Saccharomyces cerevisiae S288C: one gene and its partners. The gene in region 1 interacts genetically with each later gene. Each region holds a gene or a part of one and is shown in the gene's direction. Other genes may lie near its edges.

Region 1 (7,819 bases):
CTGAATAGAGACAAGTAAACCAAATTATAAACAAGGTTTCCCTTCTGAAGAGATACTAAGGAAGAAGAAGAACGACCCAATAATATTTCTGAATATGCAACCATTTGATAGTGGGCATGATGATTTAGTTCATGATGTCGTTTATGACTTTTACGGAAGACATGTGGCAACATGCTCTTCTGATCAACATATTAAAGTTTTTAAATTAGACAAGGACACGAGTAATTGGGAACTCAGTGACTCATGGAGAGCTCACGACAGTAGTATCGTGGCCATTGATTGGGCCAGTCCAGAATATGGGCGCATCATTGCTTCAGCCTCTTACGATAAGACGGTAAAATTATGGGAAGAAGATCCCGACCAAGAAGAATGCTCTGGCCGTCGTTGGAACAAGCTGTGTACCCTGAATGATTCCAAAGGATCACTTTATAGTGTAAAATTTGCGCCAGCGCATTTGGGCTTAAAATTAGCTTGTTTGGGTAACGATGGAATCCTCAGACTTTATGATGCCTTAGAACCTTCTGACCTAAGGTCATGGACACTGACTTCTGAGATGAAAGTGCTATCTATACCACCAGCAAATCATTTACAGTCTGATTTTTGTCTCTCTTGGTGTCCTTCGAGATTTTCTCCTGAAAAGCTCGCAGTCTCTGCATTGGAACAAGCGATTATATACCAAAGGGGTAAAGACGGTAAACTTCACGTTGCAGCAAAACTTCCCGGTCATAAAAGTTTAATAAGAAGTATCAGCTGGGCTCCTTCCATTGGTAGATGGTATCAACTCATTGCAACAGGTTGCAAAGATGGTAGAATTAGAATTTTCAAAATCACAGAAAAACTAAGTCCCCTGGCCTCAGAGGAGTCTTTAACTAACTCAAATATGTTTGATAATAGTGCTGATGTTGACATGGATGCACAGGGCAGATCAGACTCAAATACCGAAGAGAAAGCTGAGCTACAATCAAACTTGCAAGTTGAACTTCTAAGCGAGCATGATGACCATAATGGCGAAGTTTGGTCCGTGTCTTGGAATTTAACGGGTACAATCTTAAGCAGTGCTGGGGATGATGGGAAGGTACGTTTATGGAAAGCCACTTATTCAAATGAATTTAAGTGTATGTCAGTAATTACTGCCCAACAATAAATAAGAATATATGTATACATAACATTATATATTGGTACTTTATACGTGTGCATTATTCTGTATAATACGAGGCAACAGATGAATCAAGAAAGATGATGCTTTTAAAAAGCTCTTACAAATATAATGATATTACATCAAATGATATTATTATTCTTGATATTGGGTATTCTTTCGAATTATATCAAGCTTCCCTTCCCTCGCCTTTTCGCCTGGAAATTTTTCAATGCCGAGATTAAAAAATTTGTCAATGAAAATGCATTCTACTACTTAATAAAGAGGTGATGAGCTTATAAGCCAACTTCTTTTAAACACAAAACTAAATCTGATATTGAGGACCCCCACCAACTATGCCACCAAAAGAAGCTCCCAAGAAATGGAAGGCGCCAAAAGGGCCAAAACCTACCCACCGTAAAAATAAAAATAAGCTTGAATTAGGCAGAGCTATTAAATATGCACGTCAAAAAGAAAATGCCATCGAGTATTTACCTGATGGTGAAATGAGGTTCACTACCGATAAGCATGAGGCCAACTGGGTTAAATTAAGATCTGTAACTCAAGAATCAGCTTTAGATGAATTCTTGAGTACAGCTGCACTGGCAGACAAAGATTTCACGGCCGATAGACATTCAAATGTTAAAATTATTAGAATGGATAGCGGTAATGATTCTGCGACATCTCAAGGGTTTTCTATGACTAATGAGCAGCGTGGAAATCTTAATGCGAAGCAAAGAGCGCTTGCTAAGGATTTGATTGTTCCAAGGAGGCCTGAATGGAACGAGGGCATGTCCAAGTTTCAGCTTGATAGGCAAGAAAAGGAAGCGTTTTTAGAATGGAGAAGAAAATTGGCACATTTACAAGAAAGCAATGAAGACTTGTTGTTAACACCGTTTGAAAGAAATATCGAAGTTTGGAAACAGTTATGGAGAGTTGTTGAAAGATCAGATTTAGTTGTTCAAATTGTAGATGCGAGGAATCCGTTGCTGTTTAGATCTGTCGATTTAGAAAGATATGTAAAAGAGTCAGATGACAGAAAAGCAAACTTACTGCTAGTTAATAAAGCAGATTTATTGACCAAAAAGCAACGTATCGCTTGGGCAAAGTACTTTATCTCCAAGAATATTTCGTTCACGTTTTACTCTGCATTGAGAGCTAATCAATTATTGGAGAAACAAAAGGAAATGGGGGAAGATTATAGAGAACAAGATTTCGAGGAAGCTGATAAAGAAGGGTTCGATGCTGATGAAAAAGTTATGGAAAAAGTTAAAATTCTGTCCATTGACCAACTGGAAGAATTGTTTTTATCAAAAGCTCCAAACGAGCCTTTATTGCCACCTCTGCCCGGTCAACCTCCACTGATTAATATTGGTTTGGTTGGTTATCCAAATGTAGGTAAATCCTCCACTATTAATTCGCTCGTGGGTGCCAAGAAAGTTTCTGTTTCATCCACGCCTGGTAAAACAAAACACTTCCAAACTATTAAGTTATCTGATTCTGTCATGCTTTGTGACTGTCCCGGTCTTGTCTTCCCAAACTTTGCATATAACAAGGGTGAGCTCGTGTGTAATGGTGTTTTACCTATTGATCAATTACGTGATTATATTGGTCCAGCAGGTTTAGTAGCAGAAAGAATACCAAAGTATTACATTGAAGCGATTTATGGTATCCATATTCAAACCAAATCAAGGGATGAAGGTGGGAATGGGGATATACCAACTGCTCAAGAATTGTTAGTCGCATACGCCAGAGCTCGTGGTTATATGACTCAAGGTTACGGTTCTGCTGATGAACCAAGAGCAAGTCGTTATATATTGAAAGATTACGTCAATGGGAAATTACTGTATGTCAACCCTCCGCCCCATCTAGAGGATGATACACCTTACACTAGAGAAGAGTGTGAAGAATTTAACAAAGATTTATATGTGTTCGACAGATTACCGGACACCAGAAAGGAGCAAGTGCAAAATGCTGCTAAGGCTAAAGGCATTGATATCGTGGATTTAGCTCGTGATTTGAATCAGCTAACGTTTTCAGCTCACACTGGTGGTGACACACAAAAAGAAGCCAAATCTGTTACGCACGGTGGTAAACAAGCTGCATTGTACAATGCCGCTGAGGACTTGGATAGAGACTTCTTCAAGATGAACAACGTCGAAGGTAGATTAAGTACACCATTCCACAAAGTTCAAAATAGTTCAGCTGGTAAGAGACATAACAAAAAAAACAAAAGTAAAAATGCGAAAAGCAAAGTTTTTAGCATTGAAAATAATTAGCGGTAACTAACATATATCTTCTCAAAAAAACTGTGTACTATTATCTTTTCATCTCGCCAATTAATGACAGCGTTATTTGAGAATAGACCTAAGATAATAAAACTATGTTCGTTACCCGGACAAATTTTCTTGGAAGAATTTTTGAGTCCTAGAGATATTATAAAACGGCCCTCTATTAATTTGCTCTTTCTTTCCTCAGTTTAATTCTTCTTTCGAATAAAAAATAAAAATATCATGGCTCTTCAACACATTTCAACATGTTCAAGTAATTTGTGTTAGTGGATGACCATTTAGGGGCTGCTGGCCTGGTTACCGGGAGTTTTTCTTGGATCCAAGCTAGCTTTTCCGTCTGATTATCCTTAAGCTTCACAAATTACAATTTTTCCCACGCATTAAGAAATAAGCTCAAGATGCCTAAAATAAGTTCTATCCCGCCTTTTTTCGCTAACAATGACTGAGTATTCCCACAGTCTATAGTTTGATAGTAGATGGGCGGAAATTTTTCTCATATATTTACTTTTTATAGGAGAGTATATTTACGTACGTATAGTGATTGCATGTAGTTGCTCCCTATATCTTGTCATATGAGCGTGATACTGACCGATACCTGTTACAGATGTCGGTCTGGATTTGTTCGTTTTTCTTCCCTAAAGTAGGTCAGTATATATAAAATATGGCCGGAGGAAAGCTTCACCACTTTATCACCACTAAATTTATAAAGTAGAATACAATTTCAACATACACAGAGAATAAAAAAAGGTTGACAGGACACATAATAGCAAGGCAAGATGGCTGAAACTTCCAACGACCCCTTTCTGTCCTACGTTTTGAGTAGCAAACAATTAACTAATTTGAATCGTCTACGAAGGAAAGCAGTTACAAAACAACTGGGATCAAGTGACGACAATAAGGTCTCAGAGGAGTTTTTGAGGTATCAACATACTTATCAAAGAGAAGCATTTGAATATCTGCAAACAAAACATGACGCCCACAAAATAATGGAGTCACAGTACGAACAGTACCAAAGCAGTTCAAAAACAAGAAGATATAGTATCGATTTAGATTCTGTAGATGCAGTTGACACGGAATCGCAAACAGAATACCCAAATGAGGAGTTTATTGATAGAAACGAAGATAGCGAAGCTGTTATGGAGTTGAGAAAGAGATTGTTGGGGAAGGGACAGAATAAGGGTTTAGGATATGAAACTACGAAATCAGTCGATAGGCAAATTGAGGACCAGGACACGTTGCAACAGGATTTGATTCAGGATATGAGCAAACTTGTGGGCAGTTTGAAGCAAGGAGCTGTGGCATTTCAATCAGCACTTGATGAAGATAAGCAAGTTCTTGGAGCTGCAGAGATAGGTATTCAAGTTGCTTCTCAAGGTTTAATGGATGTTAGCGGTAAATTAAGGAAATATGACAAGAGTAAATTGAGTTACTTGTTTTATATTACTGTTTTCATTTTTATGATTCTCGGACTGGTGTTTACATTTATCATAATTCAATTATTCCCGGCCCTATAATGTAATTATAACGATGGAATGATGTTTTTTGGAAGAAAAATTCAACTGTTTATTAATATTTACGGCATTTTTTCATGTAGTTGAGATTATTCCTATTGAAAAAAGCAAATTGTGAGAAAAAAGTATACAATAAAATTTGTATAGGCTGCAGAATTCTCCTTTCCGTATAGTTGCCTACTTCCCGTCTCAAACTGAATCCTGCTATCTGATTGCTTTCTGTGTTGGTGCGGTGAATCTTTTTATACATATAATATTTGAAAAAGAATAAACATTTGAGAAAACAAAAGTAGCTAAACAAAACGACAAAATCATAACATTTCCTGATCTGACTGAAAGCTAATAGAACAGCAGTGTTCGATGAGGGTAAAATAAGGAGGGGTCTTCGGTTACGTTATACTAGTAAGTTGATTTTGATTTTAAGTCATATTATTGAACGCATTATGATGATACTCATAATGGACTAAATTTTTCTCATGTATAAGGTCCATAGTAGCCAAGTGCATTCCATTACAATGTTATTGATATTATCTGTGCTCTCAAATTCGGCTGAAGAAAACTACTACAAACACAACACATCAAATAATGTAACACAGCCTTGCTTATTGCCGGTGTAAGGGTCGACTATCTTCGATCTACTCATATTCATATTATCAATTTATTATCATATATGGTATAAGAAAATGACATGAACATTGAGAAACAACCAATAGATTAATTGGAAGCTGAAATGCAAGGATTAATAACTTGATAAATGGAAGTTAAAAGATAGTATTAATGATGACTAAATATGGATTCTGTTATCCTTGTATAAGAGAAGTATAAAACAAACACCAATTGGTTTATTATTCTCTTTTCTTCAATTATAATCAGTACAATAATGGCTCCAGCAGCTGTCACATATTTTAATGATGATTTGCGCATATATAACAGAGATAGGTTTAAATAATTTAATAATTGTTGGGATTTCACAACTATTGAAGGCTATAATATTATGTATAAAGAATATACCAGGAAGTCAACTCCCAGACCTTGAAATCCTCAAAATGAAGACGATAGTTTTACATAATAATATTACTTTTTCTTCTTTCCTTCTATATTTCTCCTTCACATTCATATTACGCTGACAATCTTTGCATTTCAGCTTCCACCAAGCCTGATCACCGTTTACCAATATTTGTGTCATTTTCTTATACCTCAGGTAATAATAAACTAGCAACCTGAATAATATCAAATAGACGATATGTTAAAGTTTCATTCTAACAATTACCACCCATTCCAAAATATCTATTGTTAGAGAGGCGTTAATAGAACAACACAACACAAAAATACTGAAGGTCAAAGTTTGTTGTATTACGGGCTCGAGTAATACCGGAGTGTCTTGACAATCCTAATATAAACGGTCTTAGGGAAGTAACCAGTTGTCAAAACAGTTTATCAGATTAATTCACGGAATGTTACTTATCTTATATATTATATAAAATATGAATCATATTAAGTGGTGGAAGCGCGGAATCTCGGATCTAAACTAATTGTTCAGGCATTTATACTTTTGGTAGTTCAGCTAGGGAAGGACGGGTTTTATCTCATGTTGTTCGTTTTGTTATAAGGTTGTTTCATATGTGTTTTATGAACGTTTAGGATGACGTATTGTCATACTGACATATCTCATTTTGAGATACAACAAAGTTCATAAAGAAATTAGCCATCTTAGTATAGTGGTTAGTACACATCGTTGTGGCCGATGAAACCCTGGTTCGATTCTAGGAGATGGCATTTTTTCCGAAATTTCGCCTTCTCGCACAACTTTCCAAACCCGACCAAGAGAAGGAAGAAATCATTTTTTTTGTTGCGAGTTGTCATAGAACGAGGTCGAGAAACAGAAGAGGAATTGAAAATGAATTGTAAAAGCGTTCGTTCTATGCCTCTAATAAGAGAGTACGTCTTGCTTGATGTGAACCCAAATGCCCACAAAACAGTACGATTTGCAGTTATGTAAATTTGTGGTTTGTCTCCTGGCAAAAAGAATGCATTCGTACTGCACATAATTGAAATAAGGATGTAGTTCAACTTCTATGAATGCTCGGCGATACGATATGTAGAGGGGACAAAAATATGTAGGTATCCTATGGTAAATAAATCGGTCTGTTTTAAAACCTGTTTTAGTGCAGCTTCTTTCCACGAAAGAAATAGTGTAAGTTAGAGGTACTTCTCTTTTACCTAAAGGAGGTGTAGTTATGATAAAAAGCGAAGCTAACTAAGACAGCTAAGCTCTTTATGTTGATAGTTAAAAGTTAACAGGTTGTATTAATGAAGAATGAATATGGATCTTTTTGTACTTATATAACAGAGGTATAAACCACATGCCGATTGTTTCATTATTATATATGGCTAATATAATGGTGATTCCGGCAGCTTCATACATTTAATGTGACGACTCATATTGCTCTTATATGTGACTTTCAGATCTCATTCAATTAATAGACTCTTAACTCAAATTCAGTACTTTCTGACATGCTCATTTACATTTCCTTTTGTAATAGTGCTTCCATACTTCATCGTATAGGATTTAAACATTTAGATCGTTACCATAGTAACTCATGTTACTATTAAATACCGCTCGTTTCAACACATTATATAATACTTTGGCATTGATACGCCACATAATATTCTAATTTCTCTTCAACACATAAGACAAACAGGGCAAATCAAGCAACAGGAAGGTATTTGCTTCTTAATGGCAAAACAGGTTCAGTTCCACTAAATAAAAAGGGGAAATTTACGTGTCATTTATTATGGGTTCAGAAATTATGTGTTAAGTAAAACACCTATAGCACTGGGGCAAATTCCGGCATCAATTTCAACGCCACCAAAATTGTGTG
Region 2 (7,246 bases), on another chromosome or scaffold:
AAACGACAATCATCGAGTACCCACGCTCATTACGCTGAACGTGCAAATGTAACGGGGTGGAAACCTAAAACGTTGAATGAACTAGCCAGAACGATGACAATTGCGGCAAGCTTTCCATACGTGTTCTGTTGTTGCGGCTTAGAGTGGTAGGTAACCGCGCCAAGCAAAATTACCTACCACTTTAAGCCCAAAAAGGTGATGTGTAGCTATTGCGGCTGTGGCGGCTATTGCGGTTGTCGCCACGCTTGTCGCCAGGGTTGTCGCTACGAATGTTTCAGCTTTTTTTTCAATGGGCCACTCTTTTCACGTGAAGCGCTCCACGAAATGTGCGGATATTGCGGAAGCTCTCAATGATGAGCTATCGGTAGGGATTAAAATAAACGAGATTTGGCAGCAGTTTTAAATACCAAGGGAGTAGTATATCTAGCCTCCAATAACTTCATTTGTGGAAACTTACTTCTATCTCACTCTCTACCTGAAAAGAAAACAAATATTGTACATTCATCAATTGCTGGAACATAAAGAACATAAAATCAATATGTCAACTAGCTCCTCCGTAACGCAGAAAAACTTGGATACAAACGCGGAAGCCTTGAAAAAGGAGGATAAAGTATTATCAGAGTTTGATATTCAGGATGAGAGGCCTAAATCCCTTTTATGGGAGAGTGCCTTTGTCGGAGTGCTGTGCTCTGCCCAACTAATGACTCAGGCAGGACTTGGACAATCATTAGCGCCGCTTCACATCATCGGTAACAGTTTTGGAACAACGAATGCTGGACAACTTAGTTGGTTTGCTTCCGCATATTCGCTAACTGTTGGTACATTCATTTTAATTGCTGGAAGACTCGGAGATATCTTCGGACACAAGAAATTCTTTGTCCTTGGCTTCTTTTGGTACGCACTTTGGTCCTTACTTGCTGGGTTTAGCGTCTACTCTAATCAGATTTTTTTTGACTGCTGTCGTGCATTTCAAGGCATGGGTCCGGCCTTTTTGTTGCCAAATGCCATTGCGATTCTCGGACGCACATATAAGCCAGGAAGAAGAAAAAACATGGTCTTTAGTCTGTTTGGTGCTTCAGCACCTGGTGGCTTCTTCCTTGGGGCTGTTTTCTCATCCATGTTGGGTCAACTGGCGTGGTGGCCATGGGCTTACTGGATAATGGGTATTGCATGCTTTGTTTTAGCTGTAGCAGGTTACTTTGTAATCCCTCACACCCCCATGCCAAGCCGCGATGCCTCATCTTTCAAGTTGTTGGAACGAATCGATTTTGCAGGGTCAGTTACCGGCGTTGTTGGATTAATTCTCTTTAATTTCGCTTGGAACCAAGGCCCCGTTGTGGGTTGGCAAACTCCATACACATACGCTCTTTTGATAGTTGGTACCTTTTTCTTGGTTATTTTTGCATATATCGAGTCCCGAGCAGCTTTCCCTCTGCTACCATTTGCTGCTCTTTCTAGTGATACTGCTTTTGTACTTAGCTGCATAGCTGCGGGATGGGCCAGCTTTGGTATTTGGATATTCTATACATGGCAGTTCATGGAAGACTCAAGGGGCCAAACCCCCCTTCTTTCTAGTGCACAGTTTTCACCTGTAGCAATCAGTGGATTTTGTGCAGCCGTGACGACAGGTTTCCTTCTAAGCCATACACCCCCAAGCACAGTTATGCTTTTTGCGATGACAGCTTTCACAGTCGGAACTATATTGATTGCTACGGCCCCCGTTCACCAAACGTATTGGGCTCAAACGTTTGTGTCAATCATTGTTATGCCTTGGGGAATGGACATGTCCTTTCCGGCCGCTACAATAATGCTTAGTGACTCGATGCCACACGAACATCAAGGTCTTGCAGCCTCTTTGGTTAATACGGTGGTAAACTATTCGATATCGATAGGTTTGGGTATTGCAGGTACAATTGAATCTAGAGTAAATGACGGAGGTGCCAAGCCTTTGAAAGGATATCGTTGTTCGTGGTACATGGGCATCGGGTTGAGCGGACTTGGCATTTTTGTCGCAGCAACGTATGCATGGAGCACTTTTATGAAGTCTAAAAAAAGGATCTCCGAAAAGCAGCATTTTATAGAATAAGTTCATATATAGAGAAATACTTCATCGTGGTATATAACCCAAACTAATAGAAATAAATATAGTACGATCAAAGTGATAGAGAGGAGCCAGTATATCCCGTATCGTGCGATAAATATGAAAATTACAAGAGGCCATTCTCGAGTGAAAAGATACATTATTTTTTCAAGTAGAAACCTGAAAGAACTTCAGTAAGATAACTTAGCGCACACTTTCCTACTTTAAGCTCACCAAATGGCATCCCCAGGATCGACAGCATTACCACACAAGCGACAAAGAGTCCGAAAGGCTTGCGTGCCCTGTAGGGAACGTAAAAGGAAATGTAATGGCAAATCTCCATGTGAAATGTGCGTTGCCTATGGATATGTATGTCATTATATTGACGGTCGTGTCCCTTCGGCATCACCTCAAGTGCAACAAGTAGGTGAAACATCTCCTGATACGGAGAGCAGACCTTTTGTTCTTCCGGGTATACATAGAAACGAACAACCGCAGCCTATAAATACACAGAACGTTACAAGTCAAAACATTGTAGATCCAACTAAGTCTAGGTACACGATCCAGCACTCTGCAGTTGCTTTCCCCCGCTGTCTTGGTCTCGAACTCCGATCAACTAATCCTCCACGCCTACATTCCTTCGCTTGGCATTGCGGAATCAGACCGGAAGAAAATCCAAACTCACATGTCCTTCTTTCTGATTTAGTTACAAAGGAAGAGTATTACCGTATCTCAAAAGTTTATTTTTCAGTTGTTCACCCGATATTTGATGTTGTTAATCCAGAGCAACTGGCAAAGAATGTTGAAAAATACTGGGATGGCGACGTAAAAACCTTAGAGTATGGGGCTGTTATTGCAGGGGTGATAGCTTTAGGATCATTTTTTATGGGAAGTCTTGGCCATCCCCGAGAGATGGATATAGTACAATATGCCAAAGGGATCCTTGATGACCCGACTTTCAGTCGCATTCCCACGGTGGAGCAAGTCTCCGCATGGGTTTTGCGCACCATTTACCTGCGAGCCACTTCGAGGCCCCATGTAGCATGGTTAGCTAGCTGCGTAACCATCCATCTTTCTGAGGCAATTGGCCTGCATCATGAGATTGACAGAGAGGATATAGCGATATCGAACAACGTTCCACCAAAAAGAACTACTGTAGTGAGCGAACACACTAGAAGATTATTTTGGTGTGCATGGTCAATCAATACCATTCTTTCATATGACTATGGGCGCTCAAGTGTTACGCTGAATAGAATTACTTGCAAGCCAGTTAAGGAGACGGACGGTAATTTTACAGCTCATTTAGTCGCGTTAGCACACCTGATTCCCCAAGACAGCGTGAACGCAAACGCAGCGCAATTGTTGCAGGCCCTGGCGGCCGTTCATGAATCACCAAACGCACATCCGTTTTTGTCGTTGACCAAGGGTGATATATGCCTCTCTTTGTATAGAAGACTTCGTTTGCTGAATCATATTCTTGATAAAAATGTTGTTTTACAAATAATTGATATCGGCAACACTGCGCTATCAGCAGCATACGCTCTTGTAAAACTGGATCAAGCATGGTGGAATGTGTTGAGCACCTCATTCCAGTACGTCTGTGTCCTTCTTGCCATCGACACACCGGAAAGTCTTTCACATGTTGCTACTGCCATGAAAACGTTAGATAATATTACTCAAATTCTCGGTACACGTATTGCTTTTGAAGCACAAAAGACCGCAAAACTGCTTCTTGAGGATTCCATGAAAAAAAAAAGACAAGAAATTCAGCAGCTTGAGCAGGCAACTCACCAGAGATCTAATCTTGAAACTACTCACCTACTCGATATTGACTGGGATGCTTTGCTAGATCCATCAGACACGTTAAACTTTATGTAAAAGAGTATTATAGATTATGTGTATCGAGAAGCAAATTGATTTATAATTAGAGGGAATGGAATTGATGTTTAATACCTGCTTACTATATTTTATCTTTGATAATTGCGCAGAAAGTAATATATCCGGTATTTGAAAATAGGAAATTTAAAGAAATCCCGTCACGCCTGGAATGAGGGGTGAAACCTTGACTGATATTATATTCTTTTCTTGGACATAGTGTCTGAACCAAATGCAAATTGCACTGCATTGCACCAAATTGATGGTTCAAGTTCGATCTATAAAAATACGAGAGAAGGTCTGACTGTTTATGTCAATACTCAAGAGGCTCAGGAACAGTGTTAAAGCTTGGAAGTTCAATTCATTAAAGAAAAGTTGATAACGTCAGGTGGAAAACCGAAAGATAAAAATAAAAGCAAGTCAAGATTTGAAGTATTGCTGAGCGAAATTTTGTTTGAGTGGTCCGGAAATTTTTATACACTTTATTAGTATTTGGTTTAGTGTAGGTGGGAAAGCTTAGAACGTATGTAGAAAAACATCCCTGAAGAGTTCTCTAGATCTTATCATCAGCAATAAAAGAATGCCGTTGTGACACTTAAATAGTCATATCACATGCGGATACACTTCTAATACACTAGTCTTCTTTCACTGCCCTTTATTTATAAGACTCATGTCCAGTCTATTTTTTTTTTAAAAAAAAAGACTTTCAAGCTTTTTACAACTTGATATTCTAATATGAATAATGAATAATGAATAATTTAATTAATTGTTTTGTTTAAATTTTGTTCGGTCTCGGCTATATTTGGAAGAAAAATAGCCAGTACATACTTTCTACCACTTTCGCTCAATTATCAATAAAAACATTTAATCGAAAGTCATTCAAACTGAAAACTTCAAAAGTCATTTTTTTATTGCTTCCCATTCCAATCACAATTATGCTTTGAGCCAATTTCAGTAAAACTTTGAAAATACGTAGGCGCATCGCATCGCCTAACTTAATTCGCGGTTTAACTAGCTTCCTCCACCAGTTCCATAAAAAAATGATGGATCAGTGCAAAAAAATTTTATCATAAATCTGATGAAGTATACTAAGCTGAATAAGCTGTAGGCCTTATTTGCTTTTTTCATACCCTTGGTTGGTACGACAGTAAAGATTGGCAGGTTCGGAGATACAACTTTTTTTGAGGCTTAGAATGCTCGGCCTGCATAAAATGGCGTTAAAGTTGCGCACAGGCCCCGGAAACCCTGCCAAGGAATATTACATAAGTTGCAACATCTTTTTCCAATACATGGTTAGAGAGTTTTTAATCGTTATACTTTTTTCTCATTTGATTAAAAAATATAAAATGAATTGCGAAATTCTTCTAGAAATGCGTTACTATTTTACGGTTGGCATTGCAAGATTATTATAACTACGAAGCAGTGTTGGAAAATATCATCTGGGAAGAAATTCCTATTTCTTGGGAAGAATTACATGTGCATAAAAAGATAAAACCCTCGATCACCCAAAATTGACTTTGCGACTAAAAAGTGATTTTTTCAGCATATTGCATTTCAAAAAGTCGTTGTTTAGCACAACTCATAGAAAATAAATACTAGTATGATTCGGGAATTATTTATCAGTTAATTATAGGAGTACAGCCTTTTATAGAGTTGGCGAAGATAGCCAAAAGATAAAAGCTTTGACGTACGTCTGTAAAAAGTGCCTTTTCTGATCGAATCCAGTTGCTCAGATATCCGGGAAGTTGTTAGCATTCATTGCTTTTCTGCACTATATCAGCATATGAATGCTTTCAGTATTTTAATTTTACCCTTTCACGAAGTACGCCAGAAAATGATTGGAAACGTACTCAAAAACAAAGCAGGAAATAAGCGACGAAAATTTTTCATTTCAATTAAGAGGTACTGAGCGGCTACTTAACTTTTTCTGCAGTAAGTAATGACAGAGTATCACTACAGAATTCTGTGCCTCCGGTCTGGGAATGCAGCTAGGGAGACAGCACCCTTTTGCTAATAATGCGCCGGAAATGAAACATTTAGATAAAATCTAAAGTTACGAAAACAATACACTTTGAGGGAAAGATATCAGAGAATTAAAAGCTGCAAAGAACTATGACAAATTAACCGCTTTGTTGACCCTAGATCATAGTTTACACTGCGAACGGGATAGTTGCAACCTCTTTTGTAAAATGCACCCATATCTCATTTTGCCTTTATTTCGGGTGTATAATAGGAGAAAAATTTGAATGGTAAAGAATAAGTCCCTTGCGAGTGTCAAGAGAAGCACAATTATTATTACTATTGGTGACGTGATTGAACTCGAGAATTTTCCTGGACCGATATTTGAGTTTTACGTGGAATGTGGGTGTACCTCATCTCAAAGAATTGGCGAAAAGCCAAACTTCTTAATTCTAACAAAAGCTACTGATTCGTTGGCGATGAAAGACTCTTTTTTTTGGCTGTCAGAAGCTTTCATCTTTGACATAGATGTACAGAATTTGATCAATTGTTTATATTAAAAGATTCGTCGCAACTTATATAAGGTGGCAAGAGAATGATTAACTTCAATTGCTGATGAACGTTCTCAATTCAAAAATTATAAGACACAAGGAAAACAATGTATTGGGTCCTCCTTTGTGGTTCTATTTTGTTATGCTGCTTGTCAGGAGCAAGCGCCTCCCCTGCTAAGACAAAAATGTACGGCAAGTTACCACTGGTTTTGACAGATGCCTGCATGGGAGTTCTCGGCGAAGTAACCTGGGAGTATAGTAGTGACGATTTATATTCCTCACCAGCATGTACATATGAACCGGCATTACAGTCAATGTTGTATTGTATTTACGAATCATTGAATGAAAAGGGTTATTCCAATAGAACCTTTGAAAAAACCTTTGCTGCTATCAAAGAAGACTGCGCATATTACACTGATAACCTTCAGAATATGACTAATGCAGATTTCTATAATATGCTGAATAATGGAACAACATACATAATACAGTATTCTGAAGGTAGCGCGAATCTTACGTATCCAATCGAGATGGATGCCCAAGTGAGAGAAAACTATTATTATTCTTACCATGGTTTCTACGCCAACTACGACATTGGTCATACTTATGGTGGTATTATTTGCGCCTATTTTGTAGGTGTTATGATTCTTGCCAGCATACTCCATTATCTAAGTTACACTCCGTTTAAAACTGCCTTATTTAAACAAAGACTTGTAAGATATGTGAGAAGATATTTGACAATACCTACTATCTGGGGTAAACATGCGTCGAGCTTTTCTTACCT
Region 3 (6,213 bases), on another chromosome or scaffold:
TTGATTGCATGCTATTAGTATTATCATTATTGGTATCGTCTAGATTATAATCATTGTCGTTCAATCCTGTTGTACTGTTGGCGTTGTTTGGTAACCTAGCATCTAGAAACAAATTGGAATATATTGAAGGTTCTGCCTCAAGAAGGTTTGTCTTGGGAGAAGTTGCATGTTGGTGTGGCGATAATTCTATATTTTCATTAAAATGACTGTCATTGATAGGATTCATTGGAGAAAATACCTTTTCTAGTTGCTCCAAGTTTTTCAATTCGTCATTTAAAGCTTGAGGGGTGGCTACTGAACTATATATCTTATCACCACCATTTTTCTTACCATTAGCATTACTGCTTTGTTTCTCACCGTCATTCACGAACTGTGCGTTATTGGAATTTTTCCACTTCCAGTTGGTAGCTAAACTGGCGGTATCCTTTAAATTCATTAAACTATTATTAGCAGTCGTATTAGTTGTCGCTGTTAAAATTGGAGTATTAGTGGCGTCCGTTCTATGCGGAGAATCCATTGAGAATTGACCAAAGGTATATTCCGGCGAAGATATGCTATTGTTCGCAGAATTGTCATTAGAAGAAGTAGCAGAAACGTTGGTTGTGCTCAATACCGGGTCCATCAATCCGTTTGGCTCGTTCATTATAGACGAATCTTCTTGTTTCTTGTTTGCGTGACGAACGAAACTACTATTAGGTCCGAAGACTAGCATTATATTGTTTTTAATAAGAAGAAAAGAAAAAAAAGCCGAACTGATAAAGGCGTTAAATATTCAAAAAGGAAATTTCACGTTTTAATTCTTTTCTCTATAAATGTTAATTCTCTGGAAATAAAACGGAAAGAGACGGAAAAATTCTTAAGCCTGTTGACCAGTTGCGAAAAACACATCACAGAACTGCAGTTGCTTGTTATATACAAATTTAGACAGAAATAAGATGCATAAAAATAAAATTTAAGTACCTACAGGTATGCTCATGCATCTAAGGGAAACATGTGTAGCATCAAGAGGGTAGAAAGGCCCGCAAGCGGAATCCCAGAAATAGCCATAATACTTTTGATAGATAAGAGACCTTTGTTAAACGCTCTTAAAAGGGTGGGTTTGGTTTATCCGGAGAATAGCAATGCGCAAACCTTATTGCTCAAGAGTCCTAGTTCTAGCTCGGGTTTTCAGGTTCTAAAAATGACCAGTACGCCGCCAGCAGTGAAACCTCGTGGGAGAAAGCCGGTTCCTGCAGCCTGACATTTGCGCTGGGTTTTCACGGCACCATGCCTAGCAGCCCTGGCCACTGTCATCGCTACCAACCGCTTCGTACAACAGTACCCACCAGCAGCCGGCTGCTGGCCCCACATAGAAATTGTTACGGATCCGTCCCCGCGCTCGTACTTTACAGCCAACCCCACCTTTTTCCCTTTTTCTTGGTGTGCGGTTGCCGTTCCTTCGAGGAACGGATCTTCGGGCTTTTTTTGCCGCGCTCAAAATGCCCCGGAGCGGCACTTTCTATGTATGTTTTTTTCTTTCATTTTATTATTTCCTAGTGCTGGCAAAATGATTGCTTGGAGCTCACAATACCTGTGAGGAGACCCCTTCCCCTTTTCTTTTCCCCTCCCCTGATTTCGGAAAATCAAAAAAATCGTTACGCTTGACAATTATTCCTTTTTGAGCGATTATTTTTCAAATTTCACAACTTCTTTGCCTTCAGAGGTCCTGGGTGCCTTACATCGTAGCATTTATGTTGCATCTTTTATCGAAAACATAGCTCTTTACGCGCTAAGGAAAGAAGTTGACAGCAGCTGGGTACACTAGGCAAGGTAGACGTTTTTATCAACTGTCTGTAGATAGATTCACTGCATCCTTATACTGCAAGAGATGAAAATTTTGAAAACCCTTCATCTTTTGCGGCTTTAAGCTTTCAATGAAATGTATGTTAAACAGTGCTTATCTCCTGTTTTTACGCGCAATAACGCCAGCGGCCTTGTTTTCCTCTCTTCTCCGTTTAGCGTTAGCCATTCGTTCAAATGAACGCTAAAAACATAAGGGCTACCCTTAAAAACTCCGCTATGAAGGCAAAAAATATAAACAGGGTAAGCACCTATATGTAATTTGGCACGACGTGAGCAATTTCATGTTGTGCAGCGGGATAGCAAGCTGTGCAGCGGGATAGCAAGCTGTGCAGTATTCTAACAAAAAAAAACACGAAGAAAAAGAAAAGAATAGCGAATTTCTCAGTGACAGTCTTCCAATCTTTCAGAAAGGCAAAAAAAGTGATTTCGTCATTAACATTAAGAGTTAGCACTTTACCAGAGTGCTATTGCCTTCCAACATACGTTCCTCCCCTCCAAAGTAGTAGTACTATATAGATAAAGCTAGGGTATTCTGAGCAAATATAAATCAAACTAAAGTGATTCATAATTATAGAAAATATGCAGGGCGATATCAGAAGGAAAAAAGATCTTTTACCTCGTTATAAAACAGGAAGCAAATATAATTCCAGAAGAAGGGGCGGTTATCTGACTACCCCTATGAAAAAGATTATAGTATACATTATACTGTTATGTGGCGTTTATTTCGTTATAAAAGTTGCCTATTCTGATCTGAATAAAGAAACTGAGATCAAGCTAGAAAGCCATTCTTCTGATGTTTCTGCAAGTGCAAGCGATCATACCAATATTGCAGCCGGCGGTGCAGCTGATGCGACTAACAATAAGCAACCACAACAAGCTAAAGTACCTAAAGAAAAGTTCAATAATGAAGTCGCAAAGCAACAAGAAGTAAAGAATTTGGAGAACGATTTGAAACCACAAATTGATTCAGAAAAGCAAAAACAAATAAACAAGGACAAAAAAGAACAAAAACAGCAACTCCAGAAAGAGAAACAAGATCTCGCCAAGGAAAATTTGGCTAACAATGAAATCCTTGATAATTAACCAATTCAAAACTTCCAACAGTTTGGTGATGAAAATAATAAATGTTTTACGTTAACCTTATTGATTAACCTCACCTCCCTTATTCTTTGTATAGTATAAGTGCATACTAACATACTGTGTACGTACATAAAGATATGCAGAACGTTCACAAACATGTAGAAACCAGACACGAAAAAAAAAAAAAAAAAAAACATAAATAGATTAAAGATATTTATCACCACAAGTATACGATACGGCGCTGATAATTTACAATTCTATCCTTCGGGAAAGACAACAATAATTTAGGCTGATAATTAAAATCGAAGGAAAAGCAAGCGCTAATGCGCGAAAAAACACTTAAATTAAAACCCGAATCTTCTCTTAGTATACATATATGCAGAACATGCTAGCATACACATAAAAAGCACAATGCCTATAAACCATGTCAACGAATCCCTGTATTGTCCGGGCACGATAACATTCATACCCCACAGACCCGTAATCACATTCATTGGCAGAACAATAGTACCCAGTATGGTAATTTTTCCCAAAACGTCGTTCATGTCATTATTAACCTTCGTCATATCAATGTTGATTTGTGCCAGATAATTTGAATGCGATCTACTTAACAGTTTTTCATAATGGTTTAGCGATGAGACCATGGTTACAATATGATCTTGAATATCACCCAAATACATTGCGATTTCAGATTGTGGCGAAGCTTCCCATTGCTCATTATACCTTTTGGCAAATCCTTTTATCACATCAGCCTTGGATCCTAGCAATCTTAGTATACTCATCACTCTTTTACGGCATTCACCAATCCGCCTCAACATATCTCCTTTTCTCTTCCAACCTATCAAATTTGCATTGAATGACGCTTCAGAAGTGCTCATACTTCTTGAACTCACACTAGATTTTGCACTAGAGTAGGACGTCTTTTTAGAATAGACATCGAACGGAAATGCATCCTCATCGCTAGCGCCCGAATCGGAATCACTATCGCTAGAATCGCTATCACTAGAATCATCTGACTGATGCATCTTCAAAATGGCGTCCTCAATCTCATAAACTTCATCTTCGATAAGTTCTATCATAGGGGCAAATGCGTCTGTAATGTCATCGATTAAGGCATACGCAATCCAATCAGAGGTAACATTAAGGTAATCCTTTAGTAGTCTTGCTCTTCTTCGAACATTAATAGGATGTGGTGTGGGAGCAAAATGAAACGTCAATACACCAGTTCTGAAAACAATAATGTAAACATTCAATGGCTCTAATTCTCCCTCACGTGGTTTGTGCCTGTCTCCTGATTTTCTTTTGAATTTTTCGTTCTCTTCCATCTTTTTCTTTTCGCTTTTGACACGGCGTTTATAGCTTGATGATGATGTATTGGTTGTTCTATTTGCAGATGACCGACGGCGTGCACGTAAAATCGATGGAAGCCATTTGCTCCTACTTGCATTGCTTGTACTGTTATTGTTATTTGCATTTGATTCATTTGACATAGTAGCACCATAGGCTTGTGATTTACGACGTGAAATACTTTCATGATCCAAGGTAGCAGATTCTTGCTTTTCTTTTCTCCTCCGACGAACATGCTTTTCTGCTACAATATCGAAACTTCTAAAACAAATCAGGTAATAATCTCTAAATAGTTCCACTTTCTCACGAACTTCTCCCAAAAAAATATCTTCTGTAGTTAAAGGGTGAATTCCGAAAGCTTTACTTAATATTTTCATCTCCTCTTCAGTAGGATTGCTGACATCCAACCAGAATGGAGGAACATCCTCTATATTTGCCACAGACATAGACGATAAAGTGGAAGGGTTTTTAGCTGTCAATCCCTGGAGTTGAGATACAGTTTCTGCTTTTATACCAGGTGTTGGAGAATTTGGATGTGTCTTGATATGACCAGCGCTATTATCTTGGGAGTATATAGAAGCGACAAATAAATCTTGAAATTTTTGACCAGGTTGCAGTAAACCAGATATTGTCGGAGAATGAACAGTAGAGTCCAAATCCACCCTAAAATAAGTGAACCTGAAATGTTCTGGGTTATTAGAAATAATATGCGGAGGATATTGAATATTTCTGCCGACTAGTAAGTTATCTTGTAATCCGCTTTGAATTCTTGATTTTGAGTCCTTGGTTGAATTGGACCCAAGGACCATTGGACGTTGAATCAAATGCCATGGCGCAATTCTTTTTGGCCTTAAACGGCCGTTCTTCAAATTCTCTGTTTCGTTTACCCTTCTGTTTCCCAATTCAGGGACATCAATATTAGTTACGATTGGCTTTGAAAAAAGAATTCCATCTTCATTTGATGTTCCATCTTCCTCATCTTCATCGTATTGGAAGTGGAAAGCTTCAGCATCTTGAATAGCTTGACTTCTTAGTCTCTCTGTTTCTTCCTTGGAAAATTCTTCCAAAACAGTACAATCAGGCCAAGCTTTTGGCACTTCGCTACCCTCATCATCAAGCACTAAACAAACGTCATCCAAAGAAGAGTTATTTGAAGAAAGACTAGAAGATGGCCTTGAGTTATACTCATCCTCTTCATCGTTTGAATCACTGGATGTGGATTTGGAATTTTTGTTGCTACTATCATCAGAACCCCTCTTTTTCTTTCTTCTCTTGCTGTTATCATTAACCCCAGTACTTGCATTGTTGTTAACATGGTTCATTAACGCATCAACATCAATCACGACATCATTATTCGCGTTCGATTGTCTCCTATCGGTGGGGGAGTTTTCGTCAACAAAACTCTTATGAACAGATTTCCTTCTCTTCAGCCATGATTCAAGCTCTGAAGGGGATAAGTCCGATACTAATGATCTATTCTGATCAGAGGGTCTTAACCCTGCGGGTTTCTTGTAACTTGGTGTTGAAAACTTCATTATTGGCTGTGGTTGAACTGTGCTTGATACACTTTGAGGCCCCTCCCTAGGTTGGCTCATTGAAGGTCTATGATCAATGAACGCGCCCTTGAGCGATGGATCCTCACTTTTTATTATATCATTACTTGTAGAATCAGATTCATGCAGCATGCCCCAGGAATCGATCTGGTCGAAATCAGTAATCTGGCCGTGATTGTGTTGCAGATTATCATGCAGCAGTTGCGTTGGCCTACGTGAGTCTGACTTCAAGTGACCAACAAACTTGTCCTTTCTTCTTTTTTGATTGCGCTTCTTTTTCCTTAGTTGAGGGCTACTAGAGTAAGGGGAAAGCAAAGGAACACCTTCATCCTTTTGTGAGTTATCAGTGCTCATTTTTAATCTTTTTCTTCTCTACACTTCTCACTTTTAT

What was found. A genetic interaction does not mean that the proteins touch.
Region 2: mutations in USE1 (region 1) and RDR1 together harm fitness more than expected from each alone (negative genetic interaction), as found in Saccharomyces cerevisiae (one large-scale study listed by BioGRID).
Region 3: mutations in USE1 (region 1) and YKL063C together harm fitness more than expected from each alone (negative genetic interaction), as found in Saccharomyces cerevisiae (one large-scale study listed by BioGRID).

The regions. Positions count from the first base shown.
Region 1 is NC_001139.9:313,140-320,958, forward strand, and holds USE1 (SNAP receptor USE1), read left to right. Parts: upstream 1-4,202; coding exon 4,203-4,940; downstream 4,941-7,819. Other genes in the region: SEH1 (Seh1p), read left to right, coding at 95-1,144; ribosome biogenesis GTPase LSG1, read left to right, coding at 1,492-3,414. UniProt on the Saccharomyces cerevisiae protein: SNARE required for targeting and fusion of Golgi-derived retrograde transport vesicles with the ER.
Region 2 is NC_001147.6:1,048,973-1,056,218, forward strand, and holds RDR1 (Rdr1p), read left to right. Parts: upstream 1-2,317; coding exon 2,318-3,958; downstream 3,959-7,246. Other genes in the region: AMF1 (Amf1p), read left to right, coding at 539-2,086; FRE3 (ferric-chelate reductase), read left to right, coding at 6,573-7,246. UniProt on the Saccharomyces cerevisiae protein: Transcriptional repressor of multidrug resistance genes, such as PDR5. Required for growth on non-fermentable carbon sources like lactate or glycerol.
Region 3 is NC_001143.9:317,727-323,939, reverse strand, and holds YKL063C (uncharacterized protein), read left to right. Parts: upstream 1-2,421; coding exon 2,422-2,925; downstream 2,926-6,213. Other genes in the region: stress-responsive transcriptional activator MSN4, read right to left, coding at 1-712; putative Mg(2+) transporter MNR2, read right to left, coding at 3,267-6,176.